Drosophila melanogaster: one gene and its partner. The protein of the gene in region 1 interacts with the protein of each later gene in a pairwise test. Each region holds a gene or a part of one and is shown on either strand. Other genes may lie near its edges.

Evidence for each region.
Region 2: the proteins of gukh (region 1) and dlg1 interact in a two-hybrid assay, tested with the Drosophila melanogaster proteins (4 studies listed by BioGRID).

The regions. Positions count from the first base shown.
Region 1 is NT_033777.3:18,982,073-18,987,145, reverse strand, and holds the start of gukh (GUK-holder), read right to left. Parts: upstream 3,122-5,073; 5' UTR 2,641-3,121; coding exon 2,031-2,640; intron 1-2,030. Other genes in the region: snRNP-U1-C (small ribonucleoprotein particle U1 subunit C), read left to right, coding at 3,606-4,043; dnk (deoxyribonucleoside kinase), read right to left, coding at 4,689-4,838, 4,896-5,073.
Region 2 is NC_004354.4:11,374,158-11,379,034, forward strand, and holds the start of dlg1 (discs large 1), read left to right. Parts: upstream 1-1,605; 5' UTR 1,606-1,651; coding exon 1,652-2,561; intron 2,562-2,684; coding exon 2,685-2,816; intron 2,817-4,877. UniProt on the Drosophila melanogaster protein: During embryonic development, some isoforms are essential for proper neuronal differentiation and organization. Required for cell polarity; maintenance of apicobasal polarity.

The DNA of each region.
Region 1 (5,073 bases):
AAAGTTTTACTTGCTTGTGTCACATTTTTAGATAAATTTAATGATACCATTTAAGTATTAGAAGCAATTTTATGTGCTCGCCCGTTTTGAAGGCTATCTATCACCTGGGCGCATATTTTTAGATAACCATGACATGTAAAATAAAATAATTGAACACAAGTCTAAGAAGAAAAGTGTCTATCCTTGATAATTTATTTTTAAAATGTTGTTTGCGAAATACTCAAAGAGCAATTGTATTTAACAACAATAGACAAAGGGAAAGAGACGCCTAACTACAGAATATATACATATGTATTTATTATTAAACTATACTTTAAGAATATTGATAACTATATTAGTGCCATTATCATAATACAAAATTTTTAAGGTCATATAAAAATCCACATACATTGTGGATTATGTTTCCAATTTTTGTGGAGATTCGCAGTACTTAATGAGCCTAAAACTATTATTATTGCTATTTTTGTGCCCTCAGCTGTACGCGCATATGTAGAAGACCGAGTGTGGTGCTCTTGTTTTTCCTGGGCTTCATACCTGAGCAATTAGTGCGACGTTTTCGATTGCGCATGCAGTAGCCCAAAGAGCAGCAGCTGCTGTTTTCGTGTTATTTTTTCTGGGTTTTTGCTCTCCTCGGGCAGCTGACAAGGAGCCAAAAGCCAGCGGCAGAGGGGCTGGCGTAAACAAAGTGAGCTCTTGCAAAATGACAGCTGACAATGGGATCGTACGCCACGTCGAGCTCCGCGCACAGCCCAAGTCTGCAGCCAAGTGCACAATAATAATGGCAACAAAACAATATCAAGTCGGAGTGAAAAAGCTGCAGTCAGCGTCGTCGCCAGTCTGCCGTTGAGATTTCATAAAGTTATTGAACGTTTTTCAAGCGAAAAACAAAATTCGGATTGCAAGCAGAAAACAAAAATGTAAAGGCGATAAAGTGCCGAGCGAAGCAAAGTGCTAAAATGCGGATAGACGAGAAAATATATTCGGATTTGGGCATATCACGAAGTTTGACAGCCACTGCGGATAACCTGTTGCTGTTGCAACTAGAACAACAGCAACAACAACTGCAGCACTTGCCACATAAATGGCCATTCGTGTTGGGAAGGTATTTAACACAAGGTCGCGAAAACAATGAGCCAAACGACTTTAGACCGCTTATCTAAGTGCTCGTAGCTCGTTGGTAATTGTAGAAGCCTCTGCTGGACGCGGGCAAGAAGCTAATTGCATGAACACAGGCCACCCAGCCCCACCCAGTCCCACCCACCCACTCACACTCTGCATGATGGAATAATGGCAGGATGGGCAAAGGGGCAATCGGGCGATCGGAGTGGAGCCCCAAACAGCGGAGGCGACAAAGTAAACAAGGTGTTAATTTCCACTGGTTCGGTATTCCCTCGGTTTCTTTTCACCGAGATGCTCAGAAAAAGGGTATTCCCAGGGTATGGCGATTTCAGGAGGAGTTTAATATACATGTGTATATATTATGATTATATTTTAGTATTGCTTGCAATCAAATTAAATAGTAAGTCCAGCGCTAGTAAATATCATTTAAATTCTTAGAACACAATAAATATGTTTATTAATTTTAACTTTTTCAAAAACAGAAAAGGAAACAATAAAATCAATTGTTTTAGAAAATATTAAAATATTAATCTAATATGTTAATATGCGTCTGTTTCTAATTAGCCCCAGTGAAAAAACTTTGCTATAGGGTATAGCGAGACCTGCTCCCCAATTCCCCCACTGACTTATTTTTGCTTCTCCTCCCTTTTGCGCCTTTGCAAATTGAATTCCCCGCGTGTTGCGAAAGCAGATAAGATTGGAGCACGTTCTCCGCCAAACACAGCCACCCACACAGAAGCTACTCCACGCATACAAAGCGGCAGATGACGGGCGATAAGCTGTCCGTGATAACGCACTTGACTTTGAGCGCGAATCGTGTGAGGAATACACACACACACATTGGGGGAGCTCCCACTTATGTAGATCCTAGCTAGAATTGAATAGGGCATAAGATGAATGGGTCTACTTACGAACTGTGACCGTTTTCGGATCGTAGGCACAGACGCGTCGCTCCACGGCGGCAATCTTCCGCTGCACACGACCCGCCCGCTCGCCCACCGCCTGCAGATCCCGCTGCAGGTCGTCGAAGATATCGCTGGCTATGAGGACCAAGCTGGCCAGCTGCCGCAGGGCGTTGCTCAGCGTTATGTTGCTGATCGAGTCGAACTCGTGGCCGGAGACCACCTTGGAGGAGCCGGCAGTGGGCGACTGCGGTGCACTGGCGATCCTTCCAAGCGCCGGCCTCTGCTGGCTGGGATGCCGCGAATTGGGCAGGGATTGCGACTGATGGCGAGTGGGCGAGGTGGACAGGAACTCGACGTGGTGCTTTAGCTTCTTCATGGGCGCCGGAGCGGGCGGTACGGGTTGATCCTCCGGCGCCTGGTGAACCAGAACCCTGGTAAGGGATGTGGGTGATCCGTGGCCATTGGGGACCTCTACATCCGGCGACTGCTTGTTAATGCAGTTGTTGTTCCGGCACTTGCCCGGCGTGCAGTGGAATCGTCCGGATGCGTGGCCCAAACTGGCCGCCGTGGCCTGGGCCACATTGACGGGCTGCACCACGCGCTGGACGAAGGGCATCTCTCGCTGGCTCTCGCACTCTTGATCTCTCTGGCGGCCACTAGCTGCTCCAACTCATTCGCTCCGCTTCGAAGGCACCGGCCAACATAAAATAAAAGGTAATCCAAGTAATCCCGACACACACACACACACACGAGCACACGGGCACCGAAAACTGGTCGGACAACTTCTGGACTTGAATCCTCCGCAGTCGCAGCCTCCTAGCTATTGTCTACTACTTTCGGCCAAATTCCTTGGCCTTTTCACACGCACTCACAAACTAGTTTAAATCAACTGGTTTATTGCTGCCCCCCAAATTTTTGTGGCTAGTTCTCAGCCTTGCATAATTAGCGCGCCGCACTCGAATTGCCCGTGGTTGTGGCGATTTTAATGGCCCGGCCACCGTTACGCGTCGTTCGAAAGGTGTGTTAGCCGGCAAAATTACAAAAACCGACCGTCCGCGCTGACGTCTTCGTATTTCGCCGGTTTCAAAATAACTGCCAGTGTGCCCAATACATGGCAAGGGCAGTGAAGTCGCAGATAAATCATCTGCCCGTGTGACCGTTCGTCCAAGCTGCTTGAGTATGTCACCGACTAGGGTTCAAAACTCTGCTTAGCTTAGTCAGGACACACTGCACACACTAACAGTGTGTTACCTGCTGTAACACTTAACAGTGCACAGTGGGCATTCAACACAAAACATTAATATATAATGCATGATTTATATTTATTTTTATGTTGTATCTGTTTGAATATATAAATAAATATAAAATGCAAGCTGACAAACCCAAATCAAATATCTCCATGAGTTTCAAGCTGAATGTTGCTGTTAAACATATCGATATACACAGCGGCAGAGTTGCCAGACAGCAGCATGTCTCAGTAGCTTATCACCCTTGTCGAAATACGGTCATACGACTGCGAAAAATAATAAATAAAACTACAGTGAACCGAATTTCCTTAGCTAAGATAAATAAATTAGTGCAATGCCAAAGTACTATTGCGACTACTGCGACACCTACTTGACCCACGACTCGCCCTCGGTGCGGAAAACCCACTGCACCGGCCGCAAGCATCGCGACAATGTAAAGTTCTACTACCAAAAGTGGATGGAGGAACAGGCGCAGCATTTGATTGACGCCACTACCGCCGCCTTCAAAGCGGGCAAGATCACGAACAATCCGTTTGCCGGCGGGCCAGGAGGAGCGCCTCCCAAGCCGGCGGGCGTGTCCATTCCGCCGCCCAACATGGGGGCTCCTCCGCGTCCGGGAATGCCTGGAATGCCCTATATGCCTCCACTGATGAACCCCATGATGGGCATGCGTCCGCCACCGATTATGAATCCCATGGCCATGATGGGACCACCGCCTCCACTGGGCACTATACCCGGCGTCCGTCCAGGAATCATGAACGGACCCAAGTGAACGCCCTCAGGAACGGCATCAACGTTCACAGCACAGATGGAGTGCTCTCCTTGCGATGTCCTAATTAAGCTGTAGCATTTAAGTAAGCCCGATAGCGAAAACAATTAATTATATACATTTATATAAAGCAAGTTGACTCAACAAATGGTTGTCTTTGTGGGTGGAAGTCAATAGAGAAATAAAGTATATATATTTAGGTCAGTAATGAGAAGCGCATGCAGTCACATTAGAGTTCAGCAGGCATAAGATCACGCCGCTTTTACGGTGCACACATTATTATGACTTTAAAAAACCCCGCTTCAGAAAAAGATAACAAAAATCAATGCTAGAGAAGGCATTTAATGATTTCATTGTCCAACACAATATAGTTAAAATGCAAGTGAACTGAAATGCTAACACAAAAATAGTAGGTGCCTTGCCTTTAACATAAACATTCACAGTTTTTATTACAATATTTTGAGCTTACATACTAGTTGCTGTGAAGAGAATATAATGTGGATTATAATTGTTAATATACGAATGTGTTAATCATTGGCTCGAAGTGTAAGTTTCTGCCTTTGTCCCGCGAATCGGCTCGTCTAGGCCTCTTATAATATTATTTTAAACGTCTGTACTACACACAATTAGGTACTAATGGGATAATGGTTATCTGGCGACCCTCTGGCGCTTGCTGGGCGACACCAGAACCGGCGAGGGCTGTTGGTTACTTGAGATGGCGTCGAATATGCTGCTCTCCGAGCGCTGGTACTCGGTGCCAATGTTTTCCAGGTTCAGATCGGCATCGAGGACTAGGACCTGAGGAAAAATGCATATTTAGCGGCTTCGGTAGATGTGAGCTTGTGTAGAAACTACCTTGCACGACTGCGGTCGTCTCTGGTGTATCAACCAGTCCTCGTGCAACTCATGCAGCTCCTGAAGGTACTTAAGCGGCACGCAGCTCTCCTCAGAACGAGCCCGCTGCCGGATGCGTTCGTACGCCACCTCCGGCGAGGTGCGCAGATATATGATGAGGTCCGCCTGCACGTGAATG
Region 2 (4,877 bases), on another chromosome or scaffold:
AATCTCGAACTTTGTTCGAAAGCCAAAGTATCTAACAAAACAATATTTGTACATAAAACACCATCGAATAGTATATATATATATATACATATATATCAGATATATATACAGATGTGCTGGCGAAACTAAAAGGAGGAGAACTCAAGGAAAAGCCAAAGCGATTTTTCCGCACATTTCCACTCGAAAGCGACTCCAGTAAATTCTCAAAATTGCGACCCACGCTTTTCCCAGTTCGGCGGCGTTGAACCACAATCAAAGCTGCTGCACCACCGCCATTTCCGCTGCCATTTCCACCAGCACCACCATAAATAGTAGCAGAAACACCGCTCACAGAATGCCAGTGAAAAAGCAAGGTAAGCGAAAAATTGCACTTTTATTCACTGCCCACCTTTCCCACCTTTCCCTCCTTCTTCTTCTTTTTTTATTTTCTGTTCTACATATCTGTCTTTGGCATTACGTGGAAATCCATTCAATTGAATGGACCTTATGAATGGTGGACAGTGAAAACTGTTTGCCAGTTTTCAGCAATTGAAAAAGTAGTTTAAAACTTAACACAATGGTTTAAGATCACATTTTACATAATTCTATGCATAACAAATTTAGAAAAATAACCTTAACTATTGTGAAATAAAGTTAGAACCTATTAAAAAAGCTATGTCTATGCAAAACTGCATTGATTTGCTGGTGAAAGTTTTAAGCACCATATAGTATATAGAAAGTTGGCATTAGTTTTTCAATTGTAATTTTAGTAGATCATTTAACTTTTACGTGCTGCGCAAAGTTAGCCAGCAAAGCTGCTTCCAATTACACACGAGATGGCACTTTTGGCCAAACAAACAATGTATCCAACTGTGCATTGGAAGCTATGCAACAAAAAAAAAAAAAAAAAATACATAAAAAACCAGCTAAATTAATGCAGACAAAGAATTTTATTTGATTATGTCACATACAAATCATATTTGGGCAACTCAAATGGCCAACAGAAGAGATGAAATGAAATGGTGCGGAAGGGGGAAGGGGGAGGGGGAAAGAGAGGAGCCGCAGCAGACGGAAAATGGGAAAACCGGGGAAAAGCGCTGCCAGCAGCCTCGCAAATGGTCAGTGAAGGTCAACGTCGGCGTTTGACGCGTGCTGAGGACATCAAACTGCGGCCACAGATACAATGTTCATTTAGATACGAGTATGTATAGTTTGGTTTGTGTGCTCTGTATGTGTGTGTGTGTGCGTGTGTTTTGGGACCATAATGCGACTCGATTATAATAATAAATTATGTGTTTAATTTTTTGGCAAACGCGGCACGAATGACAAGCCAGCGACGGTATGGCACTTGACCCCTGACCTCTTCGCATGGGGACATCAAACTATGCGCAGCAACACACAACTTCGTTGCTATTCAGATTTTCAAGTTAAAGCATTTAGGATGGGGAATTTTAGGCACACACCCTTCATGGAAACAAAAAAACAAAAAAAAAAAAGCGTTAATAACTGGCGTCCGACAAGCGGTGAAAAATGTTTAAAAAGCGTCAATCTTTATTGATTTATCGGCGGTAGCAGCCACCAAACTATAGAACCATAATAGAGCTCAAAAGTCTAGCCAGTTGAGTGCGGCACTTGGGCGCGAAGAGAGGTGTCTTCTTGGCTGGTCCTGGTAATGGATTCGGATACGGACTCGGAGCGGGAGAAGAGCAGCGATCCCAACGAGGGACTGCTCAGTAGCGATGACAAGACATTCCACGACGATGATGAACCGGCGGAGGATTCCTCTCCGGCGGACGATGAGGAGGAGCCCGAGGAGGAGGAGTGCCTGCTGCCGCAGAAGAAGGCACAGATTCGCTGCGACCAAGACCAGCCACCTTTGGTGGTCTTGGTACAGCCGTCGGCGGAAGCCATAGAAGTGCGCCAAGAAATCGATGATACCAATCCGGTGGCAGTAGCTGCCAAAGCTAGCGATATGGATGGGGATTCGCAACTGGAGGTGATGGAACACCAAATGGAGACCGTAACCGAACCGGATCCCGAGCCTCCGAAGTGTCCAACATCCCTGCGCGATAGTGTCCGCGAGTCCGTTGAATGCTTCTATTCCGCCCAGGATCTTCTCGAGTACGGACACATGCTGTCCTCCACTTCGATGGTCCGAACACCGGATGTGGAGTCTGGCTACTTTGAGAAGTCCGAGAGCGATGCTTCGCGCGACGAGTGGGAGGGTCCGTCGTCGTCATCCTCGGGCGCAGCCCGTTGTCGCCTTCTCTCCGGCATTTCCGGACTCTCCGTCTCTTCGTCGAGTCGCCACAGTGCCGAGGGTTTGCGCATGGAACTGAGCCGATTTCGCACCATGATCGAGACTCTCGAGCGGGAAAGTCTCGAGAAATCGCAATCGGAGCTGCAGTTGAAGGCCAAGAGCAAGGCGAAGCCAAAGCCCAAGCAGAGATCCCACGTACAGGATGCGGCTGGGGAAAGTGGTTCGGAACAGGGTTCCGAGAGGGGCTTCTGGTCAACGATCTTCGGCCAGGCGGGTCTGGCGATCAGTCAGGATGAGGAGGAGCGCATTGCGGACATACAGAGTAGGCACTAATCCAGTGGGGAAAAATGGGCAGGCAGAATCCCTTGGTCTTTTGGGTTGATTTCATAATAAAACAATCGAAGATCATTTGTACTAACCATATTCTTTTCTCTATATATTTCAGAAGCTCATCGGGCTCTCGAGCTGCTCGAGGACTACCACGCGAGACTTTCGGAGCCGCAGGATCGGGCGCTGCGTATTGCAATCGAACGCGTTATACGCATATTTAAATCTCGCTTGTTTCAAGCGCTGTTAGGTGAGTAATCGATAATGTATCGATTAAATCGATGAAAATATCCTATATGTATATCTTAGACGCTATTCGCGTCGCTCGTAAGTTTTTGCCTTTAAAAATATCTAAATAATTGCCGCTAGATAAGTGCATTTTTGTGAAATACTTTATTATATAGGTCAGTGTGCTAAATAAGTTTTTCACAAGTTCGTTATAAGCAAGAGCCTTAACCAAGCTCATCATCATCGTCTATTGATTCTGAAACTTTAAACGCAAACAAAGTTGCGAACTTTGTGCCAAGATTGTTAGAAAGTAGTTGATGAGCCGGAAAGAAAGATCCTTGAAAAGTAGTTCTTATCTGTGCAGTTGTCTATCGTCCATTGCCTATCGCCTATCGATTTTCTTGTCCCTCCCCTCGCGTTGCAAATTATTTTCACTTGACAAGCAAGCAGTGAGCACAAAGTAGCAACAAAGGGAATTGCAGCAACAGCGACAGCAAAACGATAATATTGCATAGGATTTGGGTCAAATAGACCAAGCAGCGCAGCGCAATGGAAACAGCAAGCGTCCCATAGTAATGCGGCTAATTCAGCTTGTTTTTTTTTTCTTTACCGACTCTGGTTACTCAAAAGGGTCGATAGACGGCCTGATTAGTGCTCCAGTTGCATCATGGAGTGCATTTTGGTGGCATATGGCGAAGGAGCCATTGATTTTCACTAGCAACTTGTTGGTTTCCCTCATATTACCTATAGTCTCAAGCTTAAGATGAACCTAATTATCACTATAACTAAATACTTTCCTATTAAGAAAAGTTAATTTCCCTGCCATTGTTGCCTTATCATTGTATATTTAAGCAGTTTTTTAAGCCGTTCCCATTTATTGAGACATTTTTGCCCAAGATTTGACAGCTTGTTTTTCTCATTTGACAGTTTTGTCTGGATTAGCTCTTAGCTACTTTTGGATTTTTGGCAGCACTGTTTGCAGTACACTTTTTTTTTTGCTCGCCCATCTTTTCTTTTTTTCAGCAACGTATCCGCCTCTCATCTCTCTCTGTCCATATGTCCATCCATTTCGAGACGGGCGGTTGGTTTGCAGTTGTCTGTTTTGTGGGTCTTGCCTGTTGTATAATTTGCAAAAGTTCTGCTCTACCGCCGTGCTCCATCTCATTCTAGTCCCCTATGGCTCTCTCCCGCTCGCTCCGCGTCTCGCTCTGTGACCCCGTCCCTTTCTATTGGACCCCTGGGTGCAAATTGTGTTGCCCGCTGTCAGTGGCAGTTGCATAATCCTTTTCGTTTCGTTTCGCTTGGGTCCTCTCCCCCTACCTCTTTCCATTCTTCCCATTGTTTTGGTTCTTCTTGTCCCTATTCCTCTTGTTCGGCGTATCCCGCTGGTGCTTCCTCTTCTCCCGTTATCGTTACAGTTTCAGTGGCTGCGCTTGGCGTGTCAGAAATGTTAAACGGCTAACAAGCACACACAAACTCAAATGCAAACAAGCCAAACACGTGACACGTTAGAAAACAGGAGCTTTTGTATGGCCAAACACAAGGGTGGACCTTAACTTAAAAACTCGCAGGGTCGCACTTCGACAGAACATGATCAGTCACGTCGCTCTGCTAGTTTAGAAGGAAAGCTAAACTAAATTGAAGAAGAGAGTTTTTAAACACGATGCCAGTACTTGATTTTTCTTATGATAGATATGGGTCACATGTATTACGATAAAAAGAGTTCACAGCCTTGAAATCAACCCACAGTTAAGGTCCACCCAAGGGAATTTGAGGTGGTGTATGCATGTGTGTGCGTGTGAAATAATTAACAAGGTATTAGCCGCATCCCAAACACCCGAAACGTATGTGTGTGTGTGTGTGTTTTGGGTATAGTATCAAACTTGAGGTTAGATTCCAGTCTCTTTCCGTCTCTTTCCCGCTTTTGTTGAACATATTTGCATTGAATCTGTTATGCTGTAATAACACTGAAAACATTTCAACTGCGTTTGAAAGCACTACTACTGTGCAACCGAATAACACTGCGTATGAGTAATATCGTTGGAAAAACTATGTTTGGGCATCAGAGTTTGATTTTTTTTTG